2 linked regions of the Elephas maximus indicus genome follow. Each later gene encodes a partner of the first gene's protein in a complex. Links are inferred from orthologs where the notes say so. Each region holds a gene or a part of one and is shown in the gene's direction. Other genes may lie near its edges. The genes, in order: KATNB1 and KATNA1.

Region 1 (15,006 bases):
ACATCAAAGAGGAAATCACCAAATCAATGCCATTCACAGTAGCCCCCAAGAAGATAAAATACTTAGGAATAAATCTTACCAGAAATGTAAAAGACTTATACAAAGAAAACTATAGTACATTTCTATACCTTGCTCGTGGATAGGAAGACTTAACATTATAAAAATGTCTATTCCACCAAAAGTGATCTATACATTTAATGCAATTCCGATGCAAATCCTAAGGACATTGTTTAATGAGATGGCGAAACAAATCACCAATTTCATATGGAAGGGAAAGAGGCCCCGGATAAAGAAGGCATTACTGAAAAAGAAGAACAAAGTGGGAGGCCTTACTTTACCTCATTTTAGAACCTATTACACCGCCACAGTAGTCAGAACAGCCTGGTACTGGTACAACAACAGATACATGGACCAATGGAACAGAATTGAGAATCCAGACATAAATCCATCCACATATGAGCAGCTGATATTTGGCAAAGGCCCCAAAACAGTTAAATGGGGGAAAAGAGAGCCTTTTTAACAAATGGTGCTGGCATAACTGGATATCCATCTGCAAAAAAATGAAACGAGACCCATACCTCACTCCATGCACAAAAACTAACTCAAAATGGATCAAAGACCTAAATATAAAATCTAAAACGATAAAGATCATGGAAGAAAAAATAGGGACAACGTTAGGAGCCCTAATACATGGCATAAACAGTATACAAAACATAATTAAGAATGCAGAAGAAAAACTAGATAACTGGGAGCTCCTAAAAATCAAACACCTATGCTCATCCAAAGACTTCACCAAAGGAGTAAAAAGACTACCTACAGACTGGGAAAAAGTTTTGAGCTATGACATTTCTGATCAGCGCCTCATCTCTAAAATCTACATGATACTGCAAAAACTCAACTGCAAAAAGACAAATAACCCAATTAAAAAATGGGCAAAAGATATGAATAGACACTTCACTAAAGAAGACATTCAGGTAGCTAACAGATACTTGAAGAAATGTTCAGGATCATTAGCCATTAGAGAAATGCAGATCAAAACTACAATGAGAATTCATCTCACTCCAACAAGGCTGGCATTAATCCAAAAAACACAAAATAATAAATGTTGGAGAGGCTGTGGAGAGATTGGAACACTTATATACCGCTGGTGGGAATGTCCAATGGTACAACCACTTTGGAAATCGATTTGGCGCTTCCTTAAAAAGCTAGAAATAGAACTACCATAGGATCCAGCAATCCCACTCCTTGGAATATATCCTACAGAAATAACAGCCTTTACACGAACAGATATATGCACACCCATGTTTATTGCAGCACTGTTTACAATAGCAAAAACATGGAAGCAACCAAGGTGCCCATCAACAGATGAATGGATAAATAAATTATGGTATATTCACACAATGGAATACTACGCATCGATAAAGAACAGTGAGGAATCTGTGAAACATTTCATAACATGGAGGAACCTGGAAGGCATTATGCTGAGTGAAATTGTTGCTGTTGTTGTTAGGTGCCATCGAGTCAGTTCAGACTCATAGTGACCCTATGCACAACAGAACAAAACACTGCCCGGTCCTGCGCCATCCTTACAATCGTTGTTATGCTTGAGCTCATTGTTGCAGCCACTGTGTCAATCCACCTCGTTGAGGGTCTTCCTCTTTTCGCTGACCCTGTACTCTGCCAAGCATGATGTCCCTCTCCAGGGACTGATCCCTTCTGACAACATGTCCAAAGTATGTAAGTCGCAGTTTCCGCATCCTTGCCTCTAAGGAGAATTCTGGCTGCACTTCTTCCAAGACAGATTTGTTCGTTCTTTTGGCAGTCCGTGGTATATTCAATATTCTTTGCCAACACCACAATTCAAAGCTGTCAACTCTTCTTCACTCTTCCTTATTCATTGTCCAGCTTTCACATGCATATGATGTGATTGAAAATACGATGGCTTGGGTCAGGCGCACCTTAGTCTTCAGGGTGACATCTTTGCTCTTCAACACTTTGAAGAGGTCCTTTGCAGCAGATTTGCCCAATGCAATGTGTCTTTTGATTTCTTGACTGCTGCTTCCATGGCTGTTGATTGTGGATCCAAGTAAAATGAAATCCTTGACAACTTCAATCTTTTCTCTGTTTATCCTGATGTTGCTCACTGGTCCAGTTGTGAGGATTTTTGATTTCTTTATGTTGAGGTGTAATCCATACTGAAGGCTGTGGTCTTTGATCTTCATTAGTAAGTGCTTCAAGTCCTTTTCACTTTCAGCAAGTAAGGTTGTGTCATCTGCATAACACAGGTTGTTAATGAGTCTTCCTCCAATCCTGATGCCCTGTTCTTCTTCATACAGTCCAGCTTCTCAGGTTATTTGTTCAGCATACAGATTAAATAGGTATGGTGAAAGAATACAACCCTGACACACACCGTTCCTGACTTTCAACCAATCAGTATCCCCTTGTTCTGTCCGAACAACTGCCTCTTGATCTATGGAAAGGTTCCTCACGAGCACAATTAAGTGTTCTGGAATTCCCATTCTTCGCAGTGTTATCCATAGTTTGTTATGATCCACACAGTCGAATGCCTTTGTATAGTCAATAAAACACAGGTAAACATCCTTCTGGTATTCTCTGCTTTCAGCCAGGATCCATCTGACATCAGCAATGATATCCCTGGTTCCACGTCCTCTTCTGAAACCGGCCTGAATTTCTGGCAGTTCCCTTTCGATACACTGCTGCAGCCATTTTTGAATGATCTTCAGCAAAATTTTGCTTGCGTGTGATACTAATCATATTGTTCTATAATTTTCACATTCAGTTGGATCACCTTTCTTGGGAATAGGAATAAATATGGATCTCTTCCAGTCAGTTGGCCAGGAAGCTGTCTTCCATATTTCTTGGCATAGACAAGTGAGCACCTCCAGGGCTGCATCTGTTTGTTGAAACATCTCAATTGATATCCTATCAATTCCTGGAGCCTTGTTTTTCACCAATGCCTTCAGAGCAGCTTGGACTTCTTCCTTCAGTACCATTGGTTCCTGATGATATGCCACCTCTTGAAATGGTTGAACATCGACTAATTCTTTTTGGTATAATGACTCTGTGTATTCCTTCCATCTTCTTTTGATGCTTCCTGCATCGTTTAATATTTTCCCCATGGAATCCGTCACTACTGCAACTCAAGGCTTGAATTTTTTCTTCAGTTCTTTCAGCTTGAGAAACACCGAGTGTGTTCTTCCCTTTTGGTGTTCCACCTCCAGCTCTTTGCACATGTCATTATAATACTTTACCTTGTCTTCTCAAGAGGCCCTTTGAAATCTTCTGTTCAGTTCTCTTACTTCATCAATTCTTCCTTTTGCTTTAGCTGCTCGACGCTCAAAAGCAAGTTTCAGAGTCTCCTCTGACATCCATCTTGGTCTTTTCTTTCTTTCCTCTCTTTTCAGTGACCTCTTGCTCCTCTTCATGGATGATGTCCTTGATGTCATTCCACAACTCGTCTGGTCTTCGGTCACTAGTGTTCAGTGCATCAAATCTGTTCTTCAGATGGTCTCTAAATTCAGGTGGAATATACTCAAGGTTATATTTTGGCTCTCATGGACTTGCTCTGATTTTCTTCAGTTTGAGCTAGAACTTGCATATAAGCAATTGATGGTGTGTTCCACAGTTGGCCCCTGGCCTTGTTCTGACTGATGATATTGAGCTTTTCCATCGTCTCTTTCCACAAATGTAGTCGATTTGATTTCTGTGTGTTCCATCTGGCGAGGTCCATGTGTATAGTTGCCATTCATGTTGCTGAAAAAGGATAGTTGCAATGAAGAAGTCGTTGGTCTTGCAAAATTCTATCATTTGATCTCCGGCATTGTTTCTGTCCCCAAGGCCATATCTTCCAACTACTGATCCTTCTTCGTTTCCAACTTTCGCATTCCAATCGCCAGTAATTATCAATGCATCTTGATTGCATGTTCGATGAACTTCAGACTGCAGCAGCTGATAAAAAGCTTCTATTTCTTCATCTTTGGCCCTGGTGGTTGGTGCATAAATTTGAATAATAGTCGTATTAACTGGTCTTCCTTGTAGGCGTATGGATATTATCCTATTACTGACAGCGTTGTACTTCTGGATAGATCTTGAAACGTTCTTTTTGACGATGAATGCAACACCATTCCTCTTCCAGTTGTCATTCCCAGCATAGTAGACTGTATGATTGTCCAATTCAAAATGGCCAATACCAGTCCATTTCAGCTCACTAATGCCTAGGATATCGATGTTTATGCGTTCCATTTCATTTTTGATGATTTCCAATTTTCCTAGATTCATACTTCATACATTCCAGGTTCCGATTATTAATGGATTTTTGCAGCTGTTTCTTCTCATTTTGAGTCGTTGCACATCAGCAAATGAAGGTCCCAAAAGCTGTACTCCAACCACGTTATTAAGGTCGACTTTACTTTGAGGAGGCAGCTCTTCCCCAGTCATCTTTTGAGTGCCTTCCAACCTGGGGGGCTCATCTTCCAGCACTATATCAGACAATGTTCCGCTGCTATTCATAAGGTTTTCACTGGCTAATACTTTTCAGAAGTAGACTGCCAGGTCCTTCTTCCTAGTCTGTCTTAGTCTGGAAGCTCAGGTGAAACCTGTCCTCCATGGGTGACCCTGCTGGTATCTGAATACCGGCAGCGTAGCTCCCAGCATCACAGCAACACACAAGCCCCCACAGTACGACAAACTGACAGACACGTTCAGTGAAATTAGTCAGTTGCAAAAGGACAAATATTGTATAAGACCACTATTATAAGAACTTGAGAAATAGTTTAAACTGAGAAGAAAACATTCTTTTGTGGTTACGAGAAGGGGGAGGGAGGGAGGGAGGGAGGGTGGGAGAGGGGCATTCACTAATTACATAGTAGATAAGAACTACTTTAGGTGAAGGGAAAGACAGCACACAATACAGGGGAGGTCAGCACAACTGGACTAAACCAAAAGCAAAGAAGTTTCCTGAATAAACTGAATACTTCGAAGGCCAGCGTAGCAGGGGCAGGGGTCTGGAGACCATGGTTTCAGGGGACATCTATGTCAATTGGCATAATAAAATCTATTAAGAAAACATTCTGTATCCCACTTTGAAGAGTGGCATCTGGAGTCTTAAATGCTAGCAAGCAGCCATCTAAGATGCATCAGTTGGTCTCAACCCACCTGGATCAAAGGAGAATGAAGAACACTAAGGACACAAAGCAATTACGAGCCCAAGAGACAGAAAGGGCCACACGAACCAGAGACTACATCATCCTGAGACCAGAAGAACTAGATGGTGCCCGGCTACAACCGATGACTGCCTTGACAGGGAACACAACAGAGAACCCCTGAGGGAACAGGAGAGCAGTGGGATGCAGATCCCAAATTCTCATAAAAGGACCAGACTTAATGGTCTGACTGAGACTAGAAGGACCCCAGTGGTCATGGCTCCCAGACCTTCTGTTGGCCCAGGACAGGAACCATTGCTGAAGCCAACTCTTCAGACATGGATTGGACTGGACAATGGGTCGAAGAGGGATGCTGGTCAGGAATGAGCTTCTTGGATCAGGTGGACACTTGAGACTATGTTGGCATCTCCTGCCTGGAGGGGAGATGAGAGGGCAGAGGGGGTTAGAAGCTGGCAAAATGGACACGAAAAGAGAGAGTGGAGGGAGAACGGGCTGTCTCATTAGGGGGAGAGTAATTGGGAGTGTGTAGCAAGGTGTATATGGGTTTTTGTGTGAGAGACTGACTTGTAAACTTTCACGTAAAGCACGATAAAAATTATATTAAAAAAATATATTGTCAAACAAAGCCAGATACCGAAAATATGTGTGTATGTGTGTGTATACATATATACGTATATATTTCCACTTATATAAAGAACAAAAACAGGCAAAATTAGTCAATGGTATCAGAAGTCAGGACAGTGGTCATTTTAGGGGTGTAAGGGTTAGTGAATGGAAGGGGGAGCCAGTGGGGCTTCTGGGGTGCTGGTAATATTCTGCTTCTTGACCTGTGTATTTTCTGTTTGTGAAAACTCATCAGCCTTGAACACGTATAATATGTGCCCTTTGGGGTATGTATATTGTACTTCAGTAAAAAGTGTTCTAAAATGCTGGTCACGAATCTAATCAAGCCTCCAGACCTAACTTCCAGTTTATGGGAAATTCAAGAGAAGAGGAACAAGATAAATGACAGGAGGAGGAATCAGACAAATCTACAATGAAGCACAATTTACAGGGTAAATGGCCTGGGGTCTTTTAAAACAGGTTGGGGGACTGAACTAGAATGAGTTTAAAAGAGCCAAGTGTGCTGAATCTTAATTGGTTCCTGGTTAGGAAAAAAAGTTATCAAACACGTTTTCGGGAGGATTGGGGAAATTTGAATATGGAGTGGATGCGAGAGAATTACTAGTTCTCTTAGTATTTTTTTTTAGTATGGCGATAACGGTTATATAAGGGCATTAGTTTTATGAGCTGCAAACTCAGTAGTTTGTGGGGGGTGGGAGGTGGCAAGTGGCATCATGTCTACAACTTTCAAATGGTTCAGGAAAAATACACATACAGAGAACAAGTATATATGGGCCATCATATTCTTCTTTCAAGTTTTCTCTATTAAGTTTCTCAACGTTAAAAGAGTTTTGATCAGATGTCACTCTGCTAATCTAGTCCTCTTTTTAATAATGCCCATTCCCCTCTCAGGGTATGCTTCCCAAAAGTACATAAGGGCTGGACCCAGTTGTCTCTGGCAGAGGGAACAGTAATGGGGAAGCCCCTAGGCTTTGGCCTTAAGAACAGTTACTTTTTGACTGTGTGGCCTGTTACAAGAACTTTAACCTAGGCGTCAGTTTCCCCACCATTTCCTTATTGTAGCAGTTATCATGTTCACCTCACATGCGAAATGTCCCGTTCTTTCCCGGGCGGAAACAACACAAGTTCTTTGGAAACCCTGGTAGCTTAATGGTTAAGAGCAACGGCTGCTAACCAAAAGGTCGGTCATTTGAATCCACCAGGCGCTCCTTGGAAATCCCATGGGACAGTTCTACCCTGTCCTGTAGGGTCACTACGAATCGGAATGGACTGGACGATAACGGGTTTTTTTTTTTTTTTTTTTTGGTTCAGTTTCCCCATCCGTAAATGGGAACAATTTCTATCCCTTTGGGCTATTGTCAGCCTTCACTGACAAAACAAAAAAAAACATATTGTATGATTCCACTCTGACCTGAGGATAAACGGACAGGTTGGAGGGTCTTTAGGCGCTGGACGCTGAGAAAGCTGGGCCACTCTCTCCGCCCGATGGGGCATGACCCGGGGTTAGGCGAGAAGAGGCGTCTGTCGGGCCGAGTCGCTCCCAAGCATCCCCCTGGCCAGCTGGACCACGCGAGGTCCCAACTCATTCCCGAATCCCACCCCACCTAATGAGTCACAGTAGGGTCGGCTTTTCTCGGATTCCTAGTTTGTGATCATCTTGAGGGAGAAGCTACTTGCCCACGCATTCATTCGCAGAGGCCGCGGCTGTGGGCAGCACTCCTGGGCTCTATGCCTGACTCGGACCCGGAATCAGATTCTGTCCCCCGCCAGGCCTCCTGTGGGAGATTCAAGGCGGGGTCCGGGTCAAAGAACGGGGGCAGAAGTCCTCAGACTACAGCAGTATTGCCGGAGGGCAGAGGGAAGAAGCAGGAACTGAACCAAGATGCTGACTCAAGACTCCGCCTCGCTTCGCCCCACTTCAAGATGGAAGGTCCGCAGCTTCTCGCTGCTCCCGAAGTCACCTTCCCATTGGCTTTCTTCAAATTGGTTTTCCAATAATGCGGACGCTGATTGGTCTATTCAGGAAGATTACTAAAGCGATTGGCGCAGCTGCCCTTGGAGGGCGTCGCGCAGAGGTTTCAAACGCAAACTAAGTTTGAGTACGAAAAGGAAAGGGGAAGGGAAGGGAAAGGTTGAGGCGGAGGCGGGACCAAGGAAATGGGAGCTCGCATTGGTTCATTAGAGTACGAGGGGCGTATCTTGGAGGCTTCTTCCTCGTGATTAGTCCGATTCAGGAATAGAGGGCGGGTACTTGGGAAAAGCGGCAGAAGCGCCTGCCTCGATTGGTCAAACCTGGCTGGAGGCGGTGCGTCCTCGGCGGCTGATTGGTGCAGAGGATGAGGTGGGCGGGGATCTGGGGCCTGAGGTTTTGTTGTGAGGGTCGGTTGTCAAGCAGCGGCCAATCAGGGCAGGGGATGGAGGCTAGTGGGGGTCTCGCCGGGAGCGGAGCCTCGGCCTCCGGAGCCACAGCTGCAGGTGAAGTGGGCGAGGGGGCGAGGGCATGATGGGTCCCAGGCTAGGGCAAGCTAGGCAGGGCCGGACTGGGCGGGGCTGCGGCGGAGAGGGCTCCTGGTCCGGGGAGGCAGGAGCCGGCCCCGAAAGCTGAGAGGGATGGGAGGATCAGGCGCGGCCCGGGGGCCAGTCCCAGCCTCTAGAGGAGCAGGAACGTTGTCGGGGCTGGAAGGGGTAACTAGGGAGGCTGGAAGCAGGTCTGGGGGTCTGCAGGAGCATGGGTAATGAATACTAGAGGCAGGAGAGTAAATGAATGGGGGATACTGGTAGCAGAAGGGGAAGGAGAGTTAACGGGACCTGGTGGGGCAGGGCCCAAGTTAGGGGGCTCAGGAGACGGGACGTGCATGAATTAGACACATAGGTGGCAGGAGGAAGGGGCAGTGAACGGAGGACTAAGGGGGCAGAACTGGGAGAGGGGATTCTCAGAAGAAGAGGGATGGAGTGGGAGAGGGTTCGTGGGAAAGAAGTGAGGTGGATGTTGGGTGGCCCCACGAGGTGGAGTCGTGCTGGTGTCTGGAGGCCTAGTCCCCAGCACTGCCCTTGAGAATCGCAGGGGGCAGGAGTGAATTCTCATGCCACAAACAGGAAGCTTGAACCCTTAGGGGTCTCCTTGAGGTCCTTCCCAGAGAGGAGGACCTCAGTGCCTGTCTATGGGGTACCTCTCACAGCCCCTGCAAAGCTTATCCTCTGACTTCTCCCCGCCTTGCCGTATGTCAGACAGAACAGCGACTCCTAGAAATCCATCTGAACTGCAGACATGTGGTCTGCACTGTTGCGGCTGCACTTAGGCAGCCAGCATCCAGGGGCAGAACCTCGTCCCATCATCCTGGCCTCTGGGAGGACCTCTGTTTCCCATTGTTCCAAGTCCCCTTGCTTGAATCTCTGCAGATTCTCAAACCCAATTTGTAGCACAGCTCCTGGCTCTGGTGGCTTTGGTGGGTGTCTTATCTTTTTCAAGTGGCCTTGGTGATCAGGCAGCTGCAGGTCTATAACCCCAGGGTTCTCCTGAGCTCCCACCTCTTGTTTTCTAACCAGCCATCACCTTTGTTTGTGTTCCAGCCCAGTGTTGAGCGGTGATGGCTCAACCCTGATATTCCATGATCCCAGATCCCGACGGGCATGCACAGGCTGCTGTAGCTCCTGTTGATGATTTAAAACCACAAAGGAGTGGGGGGCCAGGACACAAGGCATTCCCTCTGCCTGGATGTGTGGGAACTCCGTGCCAACTTGACTGGTGGATCTGGGGGGGATCCACCCCCACCCCGAGAGGAAAGCGTGTCTACTTGGTGGGCAGAGCTCCAGGTACTAGCCAGCTGAAGAATGGCCACCCCTGTGGTCACCAAGACAGCCTGGAAGCTGCGTGAGTGGTTTCCTTTTTTCTTTTTCACCCCATTTATCCTTTGATCCATTTGTTGCTGGGTCACCTGAACCCACTGCACTGCCTCGGAGTGAGACAGGTGAAGATGTGTAAGATAAATCATGATCGTGGCACTTTCTTAGCTGGGCAACATTGGGCAAGTGACTTAACCTCTCTGATGCTCAGTTTCCTCATCTGTGAAATAGGATAGTCTCATTGACTTTCCAGAGTTGCCGTGAGGGCCAGATGAGATAACGAACATAGACACTTACCACAGGGGCTCACGCTTCTAAGGTCCTTCATTAGTGTAATTGTTTTTCCAGGGGCTGAAAGATTTCCAGTTAGACTGGCGGGAAGGATGGGGTGAGAAATCCTGACAGAGGTTCTTGGGCATTTTCAGACACATCACAAATCAAATTTTCCCCATCAGATAGAGGCGTCTTGGGGTGGTTAGCCGAGCAGGAGACAGTGAGGGGTGGGGAAATGGATGCTGATGGGCCCTGGAATGTAACCCAGCCCAAGCACCACCCACCCACTGGTCCTCTGTACTGTTGTTAGGTGCTGTTGAGTTGATTTTCTACTCATAGCGACCTGATGTGACAGAGCAGAACTCCCCCATAGGGTTTTCTAAGCTGTAATCTTTATGGGAGCAGATCGCCAGGTCTTTCTCCCTTGGAACTGCTGGGTAGATTCAAACCACCAGCCTTTTAGTTAGCTGCTGAGTTCTTAATTGTTGAACCACCAAGGGTCTTTTCCTCTGTACTAGCAGCTCTCAAACTTTCTAGTCTTAAGACCCTTTTATACTCTTAAAAACTATTGAGGATCCCCACCCCCCCACCGCCCCCACAAAGAGCTTGGAAGAAGGGAGAGCAGGATATGGGGAAGGGCTCCATCACTTTGTAACCATGAGACCCTGGACAAAGCCCTTTGGTGGCTTGAGTTTCCTCATCTGTAAAATGAGAAGTTTGGGCCGTTTTCAAATTGTTCCCAAAGACCTGGGTCCTGGGAGAACCTTGTCATGGGCCCCCAGGAGGGTACACTTTGGATGGAGTATCTTTGTGTTTGTTGGGATTATGTATCCATGCCTTCATCATTGGGTCTTTCCTGAGCACAGAGCCAGGCACAGGGGAGCCTTTGGGGGGCAAAACAGACAAGGTCCTTGTGCGCTGGAGCTCAGAGCCTGGAGAGAGTGACAGGCAGGAATTAGATAACCACACCCACACCCATCCATCTCTCCTGCTCTAATTTGAAGCTGGGACATGTGTTTTGAGTCAGTTAACAAGGCAGTAAGGGGTGGGAGAGTGCAGTAGGCTTCATGCACAGCATGTGGAAGGCCCCAAGGCAGGAAGCACAGTGCACTGGAAGGAGGCCAGTGGGCTGCAGGATAGCAGCGTGGGGAGTGTTGTGCCACATGAAGCTGGTAAGGCTTGCAGGGGCCCATGTCTGTGAACCCCAGCCCAAGGCCAAACCACTGAAATGTTTAAGTGGGAGGCAACATACCAGGCATATTGGGCATCTGCCAGTGATTTCATTTGCGTAGCAGTTTTCATGGGTATAAGCTGTCTGAAGAGCCCAGGACCAAATGACCTCTGACACCTTGCTGGGGTCTGGTGAGGATCAGAGGGTGCTTGGCCAGCATGGGGTCATTGAAGCCCAGTAATTTGTACCTTTGGTTTGGGTTGCAGGTCCCCAGTGTCTCTGGCCAGAAAGCCCAGTGTTCCCCAACTCTGGCAGAGATGTGAGGCCCAGCTTTGTGCCACCTGGGCTTGGAAAACTGGTGTGGGCTGTGCCCCTAGGTGGAGCTGCGGCTGGCAACATGGCTTGGTAGTAGATACTGTGAGAATTATTTGTATTAAAATTGGCACCAAAGCCAGGGCCACCCATGGTTGTTGTCCTTCGGGCCAGGCCAGAGGGGAAGCTGTCAGGCCAGTGCCCTGTGTTCCCAGGTGCCTCCGTGAGCATCAGATCAGTCGCCGCTCAGGCTGCTTAAAGGAGAGTGGCCTGGGCCCTTCCAGAAGGAGTCAGCCTCCAAAGCCCCTCAACCTAGCATCTGTGGTTCTGCACGCTGGATGCCCTGTCCCGGGAACATCCGGTCACTGTCGCAGGAAGGCAGAAACCTTCTTGCTCTCATTCCCCACTGCTGCCCCAGTGCCAGCTCCCCAGGAAATATTTATGTCCTAAATGAACAGCAGTCGCTGGGGCAGTAGTCCTGAGCCTAGAGGGCAGCATGCACCCACAGAGGCCCAGTGAGGTGGAACCTTGTGGGATTTCCAGGACAGATGAGAGCAATGCAGACAACTGCGGCCTCAGTGAGAGTCATGGACGGAGGGCAGTGCATGCAGGGATGTCTTGAAGAAGGAGATTAGCTCGTGGCTTGGGGGCAGGGTGCTCAGGGAGAAGGTGGCCTACCCTCCCTGGCCTGGGCGGCCATGTTTTTCCAGCAGAAGCTCTGGAACAGTCCAATGTCTGTGGCTGGAGCACCCCAGGTGTCTGTCCCTGCAGTGTCTAGATGACAGAAGGCTCCATGGGTGAGATGAGGTCTAGAGAGGGCCCAGCTCCCTTGGACCGACATGGCAGGGTTCCTGAGACCCCAGCTGGTGCTCGGGCCTGTTGAGACCTCTCAGCCTTGCTGGGGTTGCGGCTAGGTGCTGCCCTGAGGTGGGAGAACAAGCCTGAGCCTGGTCTCTGGGCATTTGTGAGGGCCCCTCTGAGCCAGGCTGCACCCAGTTTCCCCACCTCCTGTGGTCTGATGCCTGCGCCATGGAGTCACCTATGCAGGGTGGGGCCCGGAACTGGGGTGCAGGAGTACCTGCAACACCCTTTTCCTCGTGTCACCCCAGCCAGCCTCCCAGTTGCCCCAAGGCACTGGTACGTTGGGGTTTTCCCTCTGTCCATGTGAGGAGATTTATCTTTCCCTTCCTTGTTCTCAGGAGCAACCCTCTCAGGGACTGGCACAGAGGCCTGGGCCCACCTCTTGGTTCCTTGCCTATATTTGTTCCCTTTGGAGCAGTGATGATGCCCCTCTGAGGCTTATGTCTGCTGTCCCCACGGCATCCCACTAGTCCAGGCCAGGGGCCCTGATGGCTGCATGCAAGGACCCCAGCTTCCTCTCGTCTGTCAGTGCTCACCTCCTGCCCTCTTACCTCAGACCCCTCAGTCGCCTACCACCTTCCCCTCCTCCTCAAACCCCGCCTGGGGCCCCAGTGCCCAGTGGTGCCCTCAGTGACTATTCCTTAGCCTGCTGAACAACCATGGAGCACTGTCTCCTGACTCGGCAGCCTGCGTATGTTCTCGGTGAATCCTTAGCAACCCAGGAGGTAGCGCTGTCATCATCCCCATTTAACAGACGAGGAACCTGGCACTCAAAGAGGGTGAGTGACTTGCCTAAGGTCGCACAGCCAGCAGCAGCAGAGCCTAGAACCCAGATCTGGCCTCTGTGTCTGTGGGCTGAAGCCCTGTGCAGTCTCACCTGGTGACAGCTTGTCTAGAGCTGACATGAATGATTCTCACAGTGCCTTTCCCAAAGGGGGGTTTGCGTGCCCCTCAGACGGCATCTGCAAGGGGCTTAGGTGGTACATGGGTATATATATTTTAATTTTTTTTTATTGTGTTCTTTTTCTACAGTAGAAAAAGTATACTGAACACATCAAACGTGTAATGTCAGCAATATTATTAAGATGAAGCTAAATAAAAACAGCAAATCCATATAAAAAATCAGTAAGTCAATATTACCAGCCGAGGTGCAGAAAAAGGAAAAAAAAAAAATTGTGAGGCTTAAGGGACAGAAATGACTCAAGTTGAGAGACAGGCCCAGGCACCCGAGCCCTGCACTGTCAGCGGGTCCTGCAGCGCCTGAGAAGGGGTCCTGAGGGAACCCAAGGGAAGAAGGAGGCAGAGCCCCGCACCAGCCTGCGGGTTCTAGAGCTTATAGCCGAGCAGGGTGAGGACCCGCCAAGCCTCCTGACTGTCTTTCCCTCTCCTCTTTCCTGTGTAGAGGAGATTGTCGCCCACGCCAGCAATGTGTCCTCACTGGTGCTGGGCAAAGGCTCTGGGCGGCTGCTGGCTACAGGCGGGGATGACTGCCGCGTCAATCTGTGGTCCATCAACAAGCCCAACTGTATCATGGTGAGCCTTGCTAGTGGTGGGGGGTGGGGAGGGGGGTGGGAGGGGTCACGGGCAAGGGTCTGGGAGGGGGACTGTGCAGGTTCTGTTGAGCTCAGGGTATCATATCATCTGGGGGCCCAGCCAGAGGGCGTGGTGGGGTACACAGCACACCAGTGCCCCCCATGCTGTGTGCTTGGGAAGGCCTAGGACAAGCCAGAATGGCTGAGATAGCGGCTAGCCCTCAGGAATAGGGGAGTCACCTGGCAGTGGGACAGAAACCAGGAGTCTGCATGAGAAAGTTAAAATAAGTCCACAGACCTGTGGTGGAGCCATGAGGCTTACCCCCCCCACCCCACCCCCCACCCCCACCAATCTGCCTGCCTGTCAGCTCCATGTGGGTGTTTATTTATTAATTCATTCCACAAAAGGATTTGAGTAGACCTGGTTGGAGCTGGTTCAAGAGCTGGTTCTTTAATAGCATCTTACCCCTAATTACACAAGTAAGACATAATCAATGGCCAAAACTTGGGAAACAGAAAAGTATAAAGGAGGAAAAGCCACAAAAATTAACTACATGTAGTTCCATTATCCAAAGACCATTACCGTTGGTATTTTGGTGTGTATCCTAGATCCTGATATCAGTATACACACTTGCACATGCGTGTGTGTATTTGCGTGCCTGCACGTGCATGTACACGCAGGTGAGTATCTCTACACACACGTACACATACCTGTTGCCGTCGAGTCAGCCCTGACTCATAGCGACCCTATAGGGTGGAGTAGAACTGCCTCACAGGGTTCCCAAAGCCGTAGTCTTCACAGAAGCAAACTACCACATCTTTCTTCTACAGAGCATCTAGGGAGTTCAGATCGCCAACCTTTCGGTTAGCAGCCAAGTGCTTAACCACTGCGCCACCAGGGCTCCTTACACGTACACATACATGTATAAAAATGTATTTCTAGAATGCTTATTTTTTATCTTACTTACTCTTTTATAGCCTGGGTTTTAAAAATAACATCGTTGTGAGCATTTTCCTGTGTCAACAAATCTTTTTCAACATGATTTTGAGTGGCTTCATGGTATTCCATTGTAGGGAGCGAGCCATAATTACTTTAGCCACACCCGATTTATCAGCATCAAGGTGGTTTCCAGTGCTTTGGCTCTTCTAAACCACAGGTGGTGAACGTCCTCATCTACCTTGTCTTGGAGCAGATCTGTGATCGCTG
Region 2 (15,444 bases), on another chromosome or scaffold:
ATTTCTTATTTGGGTTATTTGCTCCCGCTCCTGTTTTTCTTTTGTTAGTTTGGCAATGGTTTATCAATTTTGTTGTTTTTTCAAAGAACCAGCTTTTGGTCTTGTTAATTCTTGCAATTGTTTTTCCGTTTCCTATTTCATTTAGTTCTGCTATAATTTTTATTATTTGTTTTCTTCTGGTGCCTGTGGGTTTCTTTTGTTGCTCTTTTTCTATTTGTTCAAGTTGTAGGGATAATTCTTTGATTTTGGCCCTTTTATCTTTTTGTATGTGTGCATTTATTGATATAAATTGACCTCTGAGCACTGGTTTCGCTGTGTCCCAAAGGTTCTGATAGGAAGTGTTTTCATTCTCATTGGATTCTCTGAATTTCTTTATTCCATCCTTAATGTCTTCTATAATCCAGTCTTTTTTGAGTAGGGTATTATTCAGTTTCCAAGTGTTTAATTTCTTTTCCCTGATTTTTCTATTATTGATTTCCACTTTTACGGCCTTATGCTCAGAGAAGATGCTTTGTAATATTTCAGTGTTTTGGATTCTGCTAAGGCTTGCTTTATGACCTAATATGTGGTCTCTTCTAGAGAATGTTCCATGTGCACCAGAAAAGAAAGTATTGGGTGGAGTGTTCTGTATATGTGTATGAGGTCAAGTTCGTTGATTGTGGCATTTAGATCTTCCCTGTCTTTATTGACCTTCTTTCTGGATGTGCTGTCCTTCACCAAACATGGTGTGTTGAAGTCTCCTACTATTATTGTGGATCTGTCTATCTTACTTTTCAATGCTGATAAAGTTTGTTTTATGTATCTTACAGCCCTGTCATTGGGTGCATAAATATTTAATATGGCTATATCGTCTTGGTGTATTGTCCCTTTAATCATTATATAGTGTCCTTCCTTATCCTTTATGATAGATTTAACTTTAAAGTCTGTTTTGTCAGAAATTAATATTGCCACTCCTCCTTTTTTTCTGCTCTTTTTTGATCGTTGTTTGCTTGATATATTTTGTTTTTCCATCCTTTTGGTTTGTGTCTCTAAGTCTAAGTTGTGTCTCTTGTAGGCAGTATATAGACGGATCGTGTTTTTTAATCTATTCTGCCACTTTCTGTATCTTTATGGGTGCATTTAGTCCATTTATATTCAGCATAAGTACGGATAGATATGAATTTAGTGCTATCATTTTGATACCTTTTTTTTGTATCATGTTGACAGTTTTTTTTTCCCCACTTAATTTTATGTGCTGAGTAGATTATATATTGTTCTTTTCTCATATTTGTTTTTGTTGATTCTGTTTCTGCTGAGTCTCTATTTTTTTCTTGTATTTTATTTTGATGAGTAGGATAGTTTGTCTCCTTTGTGGTTACCTTACTATTTACCCCTATTTTTCTAAATTTAAACCTAATTTTTATTTCTTTGTATGGCCGTATCTTCCTCTCCATATGGAAGGTCTATGATTACATTTCTTAGTCCTTCTTTATGGTTTTAATGTTGTCTTCTTTTGTATAATAACATCGTTGTTACCCTGTTTGAGCTTTTTTTTTTTTAAATCTTGCTTTGTTTTTTTTTTTTATTTCCCTGTCTGGGTTGACTTCTGACTGCTCTGCCCATTGTTGTAGTCTTGGGTTGATACCTGGTATTATGAATTTTCTAAGCAAAGAACTCCCTTTAGTATTTCTTGTAATTCTGTTTTGGTTTTTACGAATTCCCTAAACTTCTATTTATCTGGAAATGTTAATTTCACCTTCATATTAAAGAGACAGTTTTGCTGGATATATGATTTCTGGCAGGCAATTTTTTTCCTTCAATTTTTTAAATAAGCCATCCCATTGCCTTCTTGCCTGCATGGTTTCTGCCAAGTAGTCCAAGCTTATTCTTATTGACTCTCCTTTTTAGGTGACTTTTTGTTTATCCCTAGCTGCTCTTAAAATTTTTTATCTTTGGTTTTGGCAAGTTTGATTACAATATGTGTTGGTGACTTTCTTTTAACTTCTACCTTATGTGGAGTTCGACGAGCATCTTGGATAGATACCTTCTCATCTTTCATGATATCAGGGAAGCTTTCTGCCAAGAGATCTTCAACAATTCTGTGTTTTCTGTTATCCCTCCGTGTTCTGGTACTCCAATCACTTGTAGGTTATTTCTCTTGATAGAGTCCCACATGATTCTTAAGGTTTCTTCATTTTTTTTAATTCTTTTATATGATTTTTCTTCAAATATATTAGTGCCAAGTGATTTATCTTCAAGTTCAGAAATTCTGGTTTCTACTTGCTCAATTCTCCTCTGACTTTCTATTGAGTTGTCTACTTCTGTAATTTTATTGTTCAGCTTCTGAATTTCTGATTGCTGTCTATGGATTTTTCCAGTTTATTAAAATTTTTTATTATGTTCCTGAATAATCTTTCTAATTTCTTCAGTTGCTTTATCTGTGTGTTCCTTGGCTTGTTCTGTGTATCACCTCATTTCCTTCCTGATGTCTTGAAGGGTTCTGTATATTAAACTTTTGTATTCTGGCTCTGGTAATTCAGGAATGCACTTTCATCTAGAAGATCCCTGGATTCTTTGTTTTGAGAGCTTGTTGAGGTGATCATGGTCTGTTTCTTTATGTGACTTGATATTGACTGTTGTCTCCAAGCCATCTATAAGTTATTGTATTAGTTTATGTTTGCTTACTGTGTCGTAGCTTCTTGCTTTGTTTTGTTTTAATATGCCCAAATGGGTTGCTTGAGTGAGCTAGCTTGATTATTTTTGCCTTTGGAGCTCTGACATACTCTCCCCAGATGGCTAGAGCTATCATCAGGTATATCAGTCTAGGAGTCCATTCAGTTTTCTTGTATGAATTCAGCTCATGTGTCCAGGTAGCTGATCAAGTATGTGGTACAGGCTCTGTCCTACAGTCTTAGAGGGGTAGGGGTGATTGGTGTAGGTACCAGTATCTGGCTGGAGCAGGGGGTCATGCTTTGAACAAGGCAGGGGGTTGAGAACCACCCCCCAAGTGTCTCTGAGGAAAGCGTGTCCCTGTTCCCTAGAGCGTGCAGGTGGGTGGGTTCCGCAGACGGACCATGGGTACCTAATGTTTTTGGTTGTAAGGACTGGGAGGTACCAGTTATCCTTGGACCCCTGTTGTAGGTGGCTGGGTGACCTGAGTGGAGCTACCAGTCCTTAGGCCCCTGATGTGGGTAGGTGAGGACCCTGTTTAATAGGCAAAGCAATGTCAAACATCAAACACCCACCTCTCTGCCACATAGCTGAAAAGGGTTGGAGTCTGCCAACAAGGGACTATTCTGCTGAAATAGGCCCACACAGGTCCATGCAGAGGGGAAAGGTACTTAAAGTCCACAGACCTTTTATGCCTGAACAGGAGCCGCTTCTGTCCTGAGCTCCCCTGGTTAGTGTAGGTGGCAAATTATCTTTTCCCCCAAATGCAAATTTTTTCCTTCTCCAAGGCTGGGAGGATGGCTCTGGGCACGTAACAGTGCCTATCTGAGGCCCAGGGAATTCAGCAGCTGAAGCTGGCTTGGGGGTTGGGTGGGCGCGGTAAAATATTCGCATGTACTTAGCCTCTTCTCTGGTTCTGGAGGTGTGAGTAGGCTGTGTGGCTGGCTGCTTCTCCCTGTAGAAGCTGCGGCTGAATGCTAGTATCAGCCTGCCACACCCGCTCAGGTCCGGTAACTCCTCTCTGCTTCTGAACGGTCTCTTCCTTCGGCTGCTCCTCAGTTTGTTTTCTAAGGTTGCCGTTGATGCTCAGGGCTCGTAGCTTGTCATAAATATACTCGTTTCACTTGTTTTTTTTTTTTTGGTCTTTGTTGTAAAGAGGGCTCGCTGGAAGCATCTGTCTATTCTGGAATCTTGGCTCCGCCCTCTGTTTAACTTTTGAAGGAACCACAAAAACGTTTAACACAGTAGCTGCAGTATTTTACATTTTCACCAGCAATGGATCAGGGTTTCTAATTTATCCACATTCTTACCAATGTTTGTTATTTTCTGGTTTTTGGATAATAGCCTTACTAGTGGGTATGAAGTGGTATCTCATTGTGGTTTTGATTTACATTTCCCTAAGGAGCCCTGGTGGGGTAGTGGTTAAGAGCTTGGCTGCTAACCAAAAGGTCGGCAGTTTGAATCCACCAGCCACTCCCTGGAAACCCTATGGGGCAGATCTACTGTGTCCTGTAGGGTTGCTATGAGTTGGAATCAACTTGATGGCAGTGGGTTTTAATGACTAATGATGTGCATCTTCTCATGTGCTTATTTACCATCTGTATATCTTCTTTGGAGAAATATCTATTCAAGTCTTTTGCCCATTATTTAATTGCATTAGTTGTTTTGTTGTTGAATTGTAGGAGCTCTTTATATATTGTGTACATTAAATGCTTATCAAATACATGTTTACTGCCTTAGTTATTTAGTGCTGCCATAACAGAAATCCCTATAATTAGAACAGCAATTATTTTCTCACAGTTCTGGAGGCTAAAAGTCCAAATTAGGGTCTCAGCCATGTTGATTCCCTCCTTGTCAGTAGCCAAGGGTGTTCCTTGGCATTCCTTGGCTTGTAGACAGTCCTCATATGAAATCTGTCTTCCCCCTGTGCGTGTGTCTCTGTGCCTATTCTGGTCTTTTTATAACTCAGAAGTGATTAGGTTTGAGATCCACCCTATACTGGCACAACCTCCTTAACGTAACAAAAGAAAAACCTCTATTTCCAAACACATTACAGGTACAAGGGTCAGGATTTCAACACTGTTTTGGGGGAGGAGACAATTTATAACATTACACCCTTCTTCTGGGGATAAATGTCAGAAGGACAAAGTCACAGGTTACTTTCTTGATTTGGTCTCATTAACGTACCAGAGAAATCCTATTCCTAAATGGGGTTATATTCACAGGTATAAACCCGTTGCCATTAAGTCGATTCCAACTCATAGCGACCCCGTAGGACAGAGTAGAACTGCCCCATAGAGTTTCCAAGGAATGCCTGGTGGATTCGAACTGTGGACCCCTTGGTTAACAGCCATATAGCTCTTAACCACTGCGCCACCACGGTTTCCTCCACAGGTGTAGGGATTAGGATTTTAACACATTTTTTTGGAGGGGGGACACAATTCAACCCTTTAGCCTCCTAAAATTCATATCCTTCCCATATGAAAAAAGACGTTCACCCTGTCAGATCATCCCCTAAATTCTTAACCCATTAAGCATCCTTGTCTTGTTTCTGATCTTAGCGGGGAAAGCTTTTAGACTTTCACCATTCAGTATGATGTTCACTGTGGGTTTTTCATAAATGCCCTTTATCATGTTGATGAATTTCCTGCCTGAAGTTTTTTCTTTTGAATCATGATAAAGGTGTTAGGTTTTGTCAAATGCCTTTTCTGCATCAACTGAGATGATCATGTGTCCTTTTTTTTCACTAGTGTAGTGTTAGAGTTGATTTTCTTAAGTTAAATGTTGTTTTTGAAATACATTTTCATTTACTTTAGTAATAAAGGTTTTCTCTTTCAGGATTTTAAAGATGTTGCTGCACTATCATCTGTGTAGCATCATTTCCAATGAAGTCTACTGTCGCTCTTTTCTTTGTTCTTATGTATTCTTCCCCCCTACCCCCCTGGTTGCATTTAAGGTTTTTCTATCACTGGTACCAAGCAAGTTAATTATGATGTGTTTTGATGTAGTTTTCTTGATGATTCTTGTGTTTGTGATTTATTGAGCTTCTAGGATCTGTGGGGTTATGTTTTTCATTCTGTTGAGTCATGCTTGGCCATATTACTTGCTTTGGCCATTGAAATAAGAGCAGAAGTAGCATTATCATATTCAGGCAGAATCTCTGCAGTTTGTCTCATTTTGTTTTTTCCACTGCCAGGGGTTCCATTTCCTGCATCCACTCTGCTGGCAACATGTAGAGTGAATACAGAATTCAGTAGTGTCCCCCAACACTTCATGTCCACCCAGAACCTTGGAATGTGACCTTATTTGGAAATAAGGTCTTTGTAGATATAATCAGTTAAGACGAGGTCATATTGGATTAGAGGGGGCCCTAAATCCAATATGACTGGTGTCTTTATAAGAAGAAATGAGACAGAGACATGTACAGATAGAATGCCAGCCATGTAAATATGGAGGTTGAAATTGGAGTGATGGAACTACAAGCCAAGTGTTATGGATTGAATTGTGTCCCTCAAAAATGTGTGTTAACTTGGTTAGGCCATGATTCCCAGTATCCTGTGAAAGTCCACCATTTTGTCATCTGATGTGATTTTCCTATGTGTTGTAAATCCTACCACTATGATGTTAATGAGGCAGTTATGTTAATGAGGCGGACTCTGTATACAAGATTAGGTTTTATCTTGAGTCAGTCTCTTTTGAGCTATAAAAGAGAGAAGCAAGCAGAGAGAGGGGGAACTCCTACCAACAAAAAAGCAGAGCTGGGAACGGAGTGCATCCTTTGGTCTCAGAGTCCCTGCACTGAGATGCTCCTAGACCAGGGGAAGATTGACAACAAGGACCTTCCCCCAGAACTGATAGAGAGAGAATGCTTTCTCCTGGAGTTGGTACACTGAATTCAGACTTCTAGCCTCCCGTAAGAGAATAAATTTCTTTGTTAAAGCCATCCACTTGTGGTATTTCTGTTATAGCAGTACTAGATAATTAAGACACCAAAGAATGCCAAAGATTACCGGCAAACACCAGAAGCCAGGAAAGGGCAAGGAACAATCCTCCCCTAGAGACTTGAGAGCATGGCCCTGCTGACAACTTGTTTTCAAACTTTTAGCCTGCAGAGCTGTGAGAAAATGAATTTCTGTTGTTTTAAGCTACCAAGTTTGTGGTACTTGTTAGGGCAGCCTTAGCAAACTAATGCAGTGAAAAAAAAATCCTGCTATTTAAACCTTCTGTGACTTAGGAATTATACACCATAGCTTAGTCTTCTCTGACTAATACAGCTAGTGAAGAATTGGAAGTAGTGAATGTAAACCATTCTCTCAAGACTTTTTTTACTTTAAAAAATGTTACTGAGGTATAATTTATGAACAATAAAATGCATGTATTTTATTTGTACTCTAATGAGTTTTAATAAATGGATACACCTATGAAGCCACTACCCCAGTCAAGGTATAGAACATTTCCTTCACCTCAGAAAACTTCCTCATACTTCTTTGCAGTTAACAGCCCCTTCCCAAGTCATCAATCCAACCTGAGGCTGTTAATATAGATCAGTTTTGCCTGTTGTAGCACATAAAGGGGATCATGTAATATGTAGTCATTTTGAGAAAAATTTATTAATTGGCTTAATAAGTTAGCATATCTTGGCATTCATATAAAAGGTGAAGGCTGAATTCAGCCTAATTAGGGTGGGTAACTATTTCTTCAATTGGTTTTGTGATCTCTATAGTTTCTTGTGCTCCATTATAATAGAGTTCATATCATAGCAAAACTATTTTCTACTTTACTGATAATCTTGAGACTTTAAGCTCCATAAAACATTCTTTTTTAAAAAATTATGGTAAGTATGTATATATAGATATATATAAACATTTGCATTTGAATATTTTTACAAGTACAATTCAGTGACAGTAAAACCTACGAAAGCCAGAACCTGTGTAAGGTGGAAACCTGTCAGAGAAGGAAAACACATATTCCACTCCAACAAGTGATAGAAAAGTAGTAAGATTACACCCTCTCAAAGGTGGAAAACTTGGGAGACCTAGAAAAACAAGGCAGTCCCGTTGAATTCCGGCTTTCACAGGTTTCACTGCATGTTCACCGTGTGCATTTTGTCCCCCACTGAATACTCAGTGCCTAACACAGTGCCCTGGCAAATAGTTGCTCAATAATTATTTGTGGAAGGAAGATTTTTTTTTCCTGAATTGCTTTTATATAAATATTAAATTACTGGGATGATTTAATGCTAGGAATTTAATTCCTAACATTAGTAATTCCTAAGTCACAAAAGTTTCAAGTGTCATAAGTGCCCCTATTCGGGTTTAGGTCGGGGTGGGGGATGGAGGCTAAGACTGGAGGCAGCAAAGCCAACAGCATTGTCCAGTAGGATATCTGTAAATCATGAAACAGTTTTGTTGTCTCATACTGAAACAGTGACACACACACACACACCCAAAATCCACCATTAGAGAATCTAAATATTTTTGTTTGCCCCCTCCCTACCTATTTTAGTCACATTACGTCGTGACAAGGCCCTCTGCCGAAGAATTCTGAGAACTGGGTTCTAAAATTTGTCATAATCGAATTGTTTAATACTGCAACACTTACCTGTAAAAGAGACACTCTGACTTCCTAACTTTAGAGGAATGCGGTGAAAATCAAATGGGAGACAATGTGAGCTAGCACTTCGGCAAAGGTACTGAGGTAAGCCAGGTAGTACAGGTCACGACCACTCCCACCTAGCTCCCTCAGCCGAGAGGAGGTGACGCGGGCGCGCAGGCGCGCCCCCGCGGCCTGGCTCCGCCCAGCGCGTGCCCGGGCGCCGGCGCGCGCACGCCGCCCGGCGTCCTCGCTCCCGGGCGTCGGCCCGCGTGCGCTGGGGTCGCTGCGGCCGCTCCCGGCACCGGAAGTGACGATGTGTGTTTGCCTTCAAATCCTTGGCTAGCACAAGAAGCGCCCGGGGGCGGTGACGGTTGGCCTGGGCTGTCCGGGTTCTGTGAGCGCAGAGTGGGGGTGGGGGTGGGGGTGGGGGGAGGTTTGGGGCTGAGTCTGACTTTCTGGCTGCCGGGAGCCGCTCTCGGCCCTTTCCCCTCCGCCTGGCTGTGGGCGGCTTCCCCAGGAGCCTCGGCCGCCACAGGTGAGTGTTCGCTCCCCGGTGCCGTGGGGACCCAGGTGCCCGGGCCGCCGAGGGCTTCAGGGGGCCTCCGGTGAGAGCCTGCCCATGCATGCGTCGGTGTCTCGGGTCCTAGCTCTTGTCGCCGACACCTGTGGCTCAGGTGACTGTTCTCCTCCTTCCTGAGGAATCCTGTCCAGCCAGGCACTCTTCGGGGGCTCTGCAGATCCCACCCCCTGGCCCGTGTCTTGAGGGAAGTGTCCGGCCGAGAGAACCGGTTTTTAATTCTGTGCAGTTCTGGCTGGTGCTCTCCGGAACCCGTGCGCGCCCCAGGCCCGGAAACCCTTCCTCCTGAAAAACCACGACATAGGGATGTAGCTTCCTTTCTTGTATTTTTTTAGTTGGTGTGTTATCGTTGAGGGTGTTAATTTCTTATTTAGATTATTCTAGAGCTGGTCGTCCTCTGGGAGGTTTATGGAGTTGGTACCTTTTAGAAAACGTATCCCTCGAAACATTTGTTTCATACCGTATATGGTGACGGAGATAGAGGTAAGCATGGACCCTCAAGTGCCTTACCGTGGATAATCTCCGGCCTTAACTGCGAATTGTTACTTTTATATCAGTTACCAGCTTTTAGCAGCACAGTGGTGCGCCCTTTTCTCTTGAAAGCACTAATTTATGTCTTTCTTCTTGAAACCAGACCTTTAGTTACTTTTGAAAGCATTCCGAATGTTTTAGAATGTGTGCGATGGATCTTTGCCACGGCCGCAAGGACAGAACATAAGGTGTCAAGAATGGTTTGCGTAATATTTATAAGGGCCAAAATGTCTCAACATGAAGTCCTGTTTTCTTTTCCAAAGGAGATGGTTTTGTAATCAGTGAGTTCTTACACAAAGAAATAGCATCTGAACTCTTTGTCTTATATTAATAACTTGTGGCATATATCATGCCTTAAAAAAAAAAGGAGGCAGTGCTGATCAACTTTCCAACATTCCTAGACTGTGAAAAGCAATATAAAGCTCTTTTATGGCTTTGGTTATTCAAGAAGCTTTTACATGTTATGGATTTAGTACTTGGAATTACTACGTAGCATACAAGGAAGGCTGCAACTTACTTTCAAACTGGCGTCTCGATTTGAAAATTTGTAGTCTTAGGGCATCATGTAGAATTTACTGTATTAACATCGTTGAAATGCTGTTTACAACAACGCCTTTTTTTTTTTTTTAGCGACTTGACTGTTTAAAAAAGATAGCATATCAAATCAATATGGTCAAAGTTGATAACATGCTAAATAGATTTCGCTTGTGTTTATTGAGATGGCTTGAAATGGCGTTTAGTTTGTGTTTTAATTGCTATACTCACTGATTTATTTTTGTTTAGAGTAAACTGAAAATTATCCAGTTATCCTTCTTTTGAGGGAAAGTTTACCAAATACATATAATGTAGACTTTTATATGTATATATTTTCTGAGCAGGGTTACTTTTGGTGTTGTTTTTTACGGTGGTAGCTTTCCTGTGCTTGAGTATTTATCATGTGATGATTATAAAGGTAAGGAAAACGTATGCCATGTTATAATTAGTCATGGGTCCCTCATTTATTCTGCTTTTTCATAATCATCAGTGACACTTTAAATTAGCATCATGATTGCATTCATATCCCAGAGATGACCATTCCGAAAATTGCTTAACCAGCAATCATGTTCTGTTTTTATTTTAGGAAATAAGTTTTGCAGATGAATTTTTGAAAAACATTAGCAGGCTTCCAGCATCGTTATTGACTCTTTATCCTGTGTTTAATATCCTATGCTTGTTTGCTCTTACTTAGCAAAGAAAAAAAAACACCTAAAGAGATAACCTTTCTACTACACTTCAAAGATTTTGAGGGCTAATTCCGTCTTACTTATTTTTGTCTTCAGTGCACTTCCTTTCAGCTCAGTAAGTGCTTCGTAAATATTTCTTGAACGAATGCTCAGTAGGTGATCCTTAAATATTTCTTGAATGAATGACCTATGGGTAGGACGTTAAAAACTACAGTATAGGTAGAACCTAGCCTAAAAAAAAAGAAATTTTTTTTTTTTTTTTTTAGTAAGAGGGGCAGGGGCTGCATTTGTTGTTTTTGTAGAGAATAGGAATCTTAGAACTCAAGTATTTTGATCTTCTGGTAGAGGTGCCACATTGCATCAGACGTGAAATTTCCTAGGAATCTTAATGGAAAATTGAGTTTTTAGTATTAGTTTTAAAAAACATGGGCTCTGTTATTGATTTACAGTAGTATTAATTTTGAAAAATGGGCTCTGTTACTTGATTTACAATTTCACTTGCATGTTAAAAAAACCACCCACTGCCCTCGTTACTCAGTTTAAATAGATGAATTTAGTCATTAACCAACTCACGCCTTCAAACCATATAAGCAAAAGGGTGATTCTGATAGGTTAACCCAAAGGAAAAGCTGACAGCGAAGTAAATGAGGCATAGCCGGAGCTTATTTCTCTCTCTAACGATATGTCTAACCAAGAGTCTGAATTTTTGGACAGTCTCATTTTTTATGGGTAGCGTTTACCACTTTTGTTGATTAAAACTCGGTCTGTCAACCTTTCTGGAAATACGTTTATTTCGTCAAATATTGCCAGGTATTGTGCAAGGTAGACCCCTTTTCTGTCTTTCTACAGTATGATTTTAGCAGTGATAAAGACATATTCTTGATAATTGGAGAATCATAAGTTTACAGTGTTTTCATTCATTTGAAAAGGATATTTTAGGCTTAGAGACTATGAAAGGATTAGGAAAAATTATTTTTGTCTAATATTTGGTTACCTAATGCTTGCTTTGTGACTGTTTTCAGTAAATACGTTATTCCTTTGATAACCAAGAATTTTTCAGGTCCTTTGTTAATATGGCCTTGGATTGACTTTACATTTCTTTTTGTTAGAAAATGACAATTCATTGTCTGCTAACAAATTTTATCTCACTAGAAAGAGAACTTCGTAACACAGAACCTTTAAACAAAGCCTGGAGTGACTTCTGAGTTTGGGACCGTTGAACAATGGCCCTCAAAAAGAAAAGTAAACAAAAGATCACCTATATATATAAATAGCACCTTAATTCAGATTTTTTTTTTTCTTCTAATGCGAATGGGAAGAAAGATATGGAAGGAGTCTTAAGCAAGGAGGGAGAGGGGAAAAGACATGAGAGGCCCGACATCCAAACTCATTCACATCAACTGTATACGTCCAGCAGTTGGGCCTGTTTATACTGTTCTAACACTGTTGCTCAGACTAGATGTCACTATAGGGCACGTGTGGCTTCAAGGCAGCAGTGATTATGCAGGTGTTAAGCAATAACCCTAGCTCTGGTGGTGATGAGTTGAGGATCAAAGAATGTGAGAGTGCAGAGGGGTGGGAACTGGACAAAAGTAAGAAATCTTAGTTAAGACAAAAACCTGGAAGTATTTTCGTTCAAAGATTACTGACTATCTGCTGTGTGCCAAACATGGTTCTTAGTACTGGGGATATAGCAGTGAATAACAGAGAGACATGATCCTTGACTATGGAGCTTTTATTTGGATAGAATATTGTCAGTGGTTATGACTTCAGGGAGTAACTATTTAGGTCACAGGATTTCCTTCGTTTCCTGTTGGACCTCAGCTGTTCAGTCTCAGTCTTGAGTTACTCATAGACCTCAGTTTATAACTGTATTGCTACATAACAAATTACCCCAAAACATAGTGCCTTAAAACAAACATTTATTATCTCACAGTTTCTGTGGATCAGGAATCTGGGAAGGGCTTAGCTGAGTGCCCTGACCCAGGGTCTTTCACAAGGCTGTAATCAAGGTATCAGCCCTCAGTGTAGTCATCTCAGTGCTTAACTTGGAGAAGATCTGCTCCCAAGGTCACTCACATGGTTGTTGGCAGAATTCAGTTCCTTGTGGCCATTCAGCTACGGCTTCAGCTCCTCACTGGTTGTTGGCCTGGAGTCTCCCTCAGTTCTTTGCTGTGTGAGCCTGTCACAAGGCAGCTCACAACATGGTAGCTGGTTTTCCTTAGAGTGCACCAGCAAGAGAGAGAGAGGGCAAGCAAGATGAAAGTCACAGTCTGATGTTGGAAATGACATTTCATTATTTTTGCATATTCTGTTTGTTAGAAGTCCACATTGAGTGGGGAAGTAATTACCCAACGGTATGAATACCAGGAGGCAGGGATCATCGAGAGCCATCTTAGAGGTCAATATCATTATGTATATAAGGACTTTTTCTCTTATTGTGTTTTTTTGTCCTCCCTGCCCCAGTCCTTTCGCTACTCACATTTCCCTACCTCAGCCTCCATAGACACTCAGTATATGTTCTTAGATATGTATGTATCCTTTAAAAAGTTTTATATAATGTATGGCTTTTTCATTTATAAAATGATATTGGGACTTAAGTCTTGTTCTGTGTCTAAGATTTTTTTCACCCAACTCTGTATTTTGATGATCTATCCATGCTGCAATTTGTAAATTGTGTTCGTTGTTTCCGCTACATGGTCCTACATAACGTTCATTCACAGTTTTTTTTTTTCATTCACATATTTTCTTCTGCATTCTTTCAGCAGCGAATAAACAGACTGCCTCCAGCTCTGATTTCCCAGACGTTCTGTCATTAACGTGTGTACGTCCTTGTTGTTATTGGCTGTGGAGTAGACTCATGGGGACCCCATGTGTGCATAGAAGAACCCCTCTGTAGGGTTTTCAAGGCTGTGACCTTTCAAAAGCAGCTCACCAGGCCTGTCTTCCAAGGCACTTCTAAGTGAGTTCGAACCCCAGTGTTTTGGCTAGAACCTAGTCAGGTGCTTTACCTTCTGAGCCACCCAGGCACTCCTAAACATCTAATTCCAAGTCCCTTTATGGATCTTTGTGAGACTGACTCTGGAATATTTGCACAAGACTGGGATCGTTGGGTCAAAAAATACATATGCATACGTAATTTCCCTAAGTACTGCCAGATTGTTCTCCTAAACAGCTGTACAGTTTATGCCCATAAATTATATGTGAGGCTTTCTCCCCCTCCCCAAATCCTTGCCGATACTTAGTATTATTGGACTTAGTAATTTTTTTTAAACCTGGTAAATGTAAAAGGAACCTCTCATTGCTTTCATTTGCGTTCATTTGTTACTAGTGTCCTGTACATGTTAGCCATTGGGTTTTCTATTTCCATGAATTGCTCTTTATGCTCTGTAGTCATTTCCCTGTAAAGTCCTTTTGTCCATTAGTGTGATGAATTACAATGATGGATTTTCCGATCTTAAGTCACCCTTGGATTCCTGGGGTGAAAAAAGGTGAAACCTTACCTTTAAACCCTTCTTAATCATGATATGCGTATGTGTTTGTTTTAATTTTATTTAGTTTGTTGTTGATATTGAAAATATACACAGCAAAACAGTTTCTGAATGTATAATTCAATGACATTGATTCCATTTCTTTGAATTGTGCAACCATTCTTACATTCTTTTTCTGAGTTGTCCCCCCATTAACGTAAACTCACTGCCCCCTAAGGTTCCTGTCTAATCTTTTGAGTTGCTCTTGTCACTTTGATCCCATATCAAAGAGCATAATGCTCAAAGCAGGCAGTTTTTATTAGTTAAGCTGAACTGCAGTTTTAAGAAGACTTCAGGAGATACTTTTGGTTTCAGATTTAAAAATTATCTCAGGGCAGTACTTTGAGGGGTTCACCCAGCCCACATGGCTCCAGAAGGTCTGTTGTTCTTGTTAGGTGCTGTCGAGTCGGTTCCGACTCATAGCGACCCCATGCACAACAGAGCGAAACACTACCCGGTCCCACACCATCCTTACAATGGTTGCTATGCTTGAGCCCATCATTGCAGCCACTGTGCCAGTCTACCTTGTTAAGGGACTTCCTCTTTTCTGCTGACCCTATACTCTTCCAAGCATGATGTCCTTCTCCAGGGACTCATCCCTCCTGACAACATGTCCAAAGTATGTAAGATGCAGTTTCACCATCCTTGCCTCTAAGGAGCATTCTGGCCGCACTTCTTCCAAGGCAGATTTGTTCGTTCTTTTGGCAGTCCTTGGTATATTCAATATTCTTGGCCAACACCGCAAGTCAAAGGCGTCAACTCTTCTTCAGTCTTCTTTATTCACTGTCCAGCTTTCACATGTATATGATGTGATTGAAAATACCATGGCTTGGGTCAGGGTCACCTTAGTCTTCAGGGTGACATCTTTGCTCTTCAACACTTCGAAGAGGTCCTTTGCAGTAGATTTGCCCAGTGCAATGCGTCTTTTGATTTCTTGACTGCTGCTTCCATGGCTGTTGATTGTGGATCCAAGTAAAATGAAATCCTTGACAACTTCAATCTTTCCTCCGTTTATCATGATGTTGCTCATTGGTCCAGTTGTAAGGATTTTTGTTTTCTTTATGTTGAGGTGTAATCCATACTGAAGGCTGTGGTCTTTGATCTTCATTAGTAAGTGCTTCAAGTCCTCTTTACTTTCAGCAAGCAAGATTGTGTCATCTGTAGAATGCAGGTTGTTAATGAGTCTTCCTCCAATCCTGATGCCCCGTTCTTCTTCATGTAGTCCAGCTTCTCGGATTATTTGTTCAGCATACAGATGAAATAGGTATGGTGAAGGAATACAACCCTGACGCACACCTTTCCTGACTTTAAACCAATCAGTATCCCCTTGTTCTGTCCG

The links.
Region 2: the proteins of KATNB1 (region 1) and KATNA1 are in contact, whole or in part, in a crystal structure (PDB 5OW5), measured with the Mus musculus proteins. The link is inferred for Elephas maximus indicus from reciprocal best matches to the Homo sapiens genes KATNB1 and KATNA1. Residues at the interface, in NP_083081.2 of Mus musculus: Leu485, Val486, Asp487, Glu488, Ala490, Met491, Gln493, Ile494, Arg495, Gly497, His498, Met501, Phe502, Val504, Leu505, Thr506, Arg508, His509, Leu512, Asp513, Val515, Arg516, Trp519, Thr521, Asp542, Leu543, Ile546, Gln549, Lys550, Leu553; in NP_035965.2 of Mus musculus: Leu5, Gln6, Ile8, Val9, Val12, Arg16, Ala19, Leu20, Leu21, Gly22, Tyr24, Tyr31, Tyr41, Leu50, Lys53, Trp54, Gln56, Val57, Glu60, Ile61, Val63, Glu64, Gln67, Val68, Asp70, Ile71, Thr74, Leu75, Ser77, Phe78.

What each region holds. Positions count from the first base shown.
Region 1 is NC_064839.1:24,623,952-24,638,957, forward strand, and holds the start of KATNB1 (katanin p80 WD40 repeat-containing subunit B1), read left to right. Parts: upstream 1-8,187; 5' UTR 8,188-8,282; intron 8,283-9,377; 5' UTR 9,378-9,638; coding exon 9,639-9,678; intron 9,679-13,669; coding exon 13,670-13,800; intron 13,801-15,006.
Region 2 is NC_064819.1:220,917,891-220,933,334, reverse strand, and holds the start of KATNA1 (katanin p60 ATPase-containing subunit A1), read left to right. Parts: upstream 1-8,676; 5' UTR 8,677-8,779; intron 8,780-15,444. UniProt on the Homo sapiens protein: Catalytic subunit of a complex which severs microtubules in an ATP-dependent manner. Microtubule severing may promote rapid reorganization of cellular microtubule arrays and the release of microtubules from the centrosome following nucleation.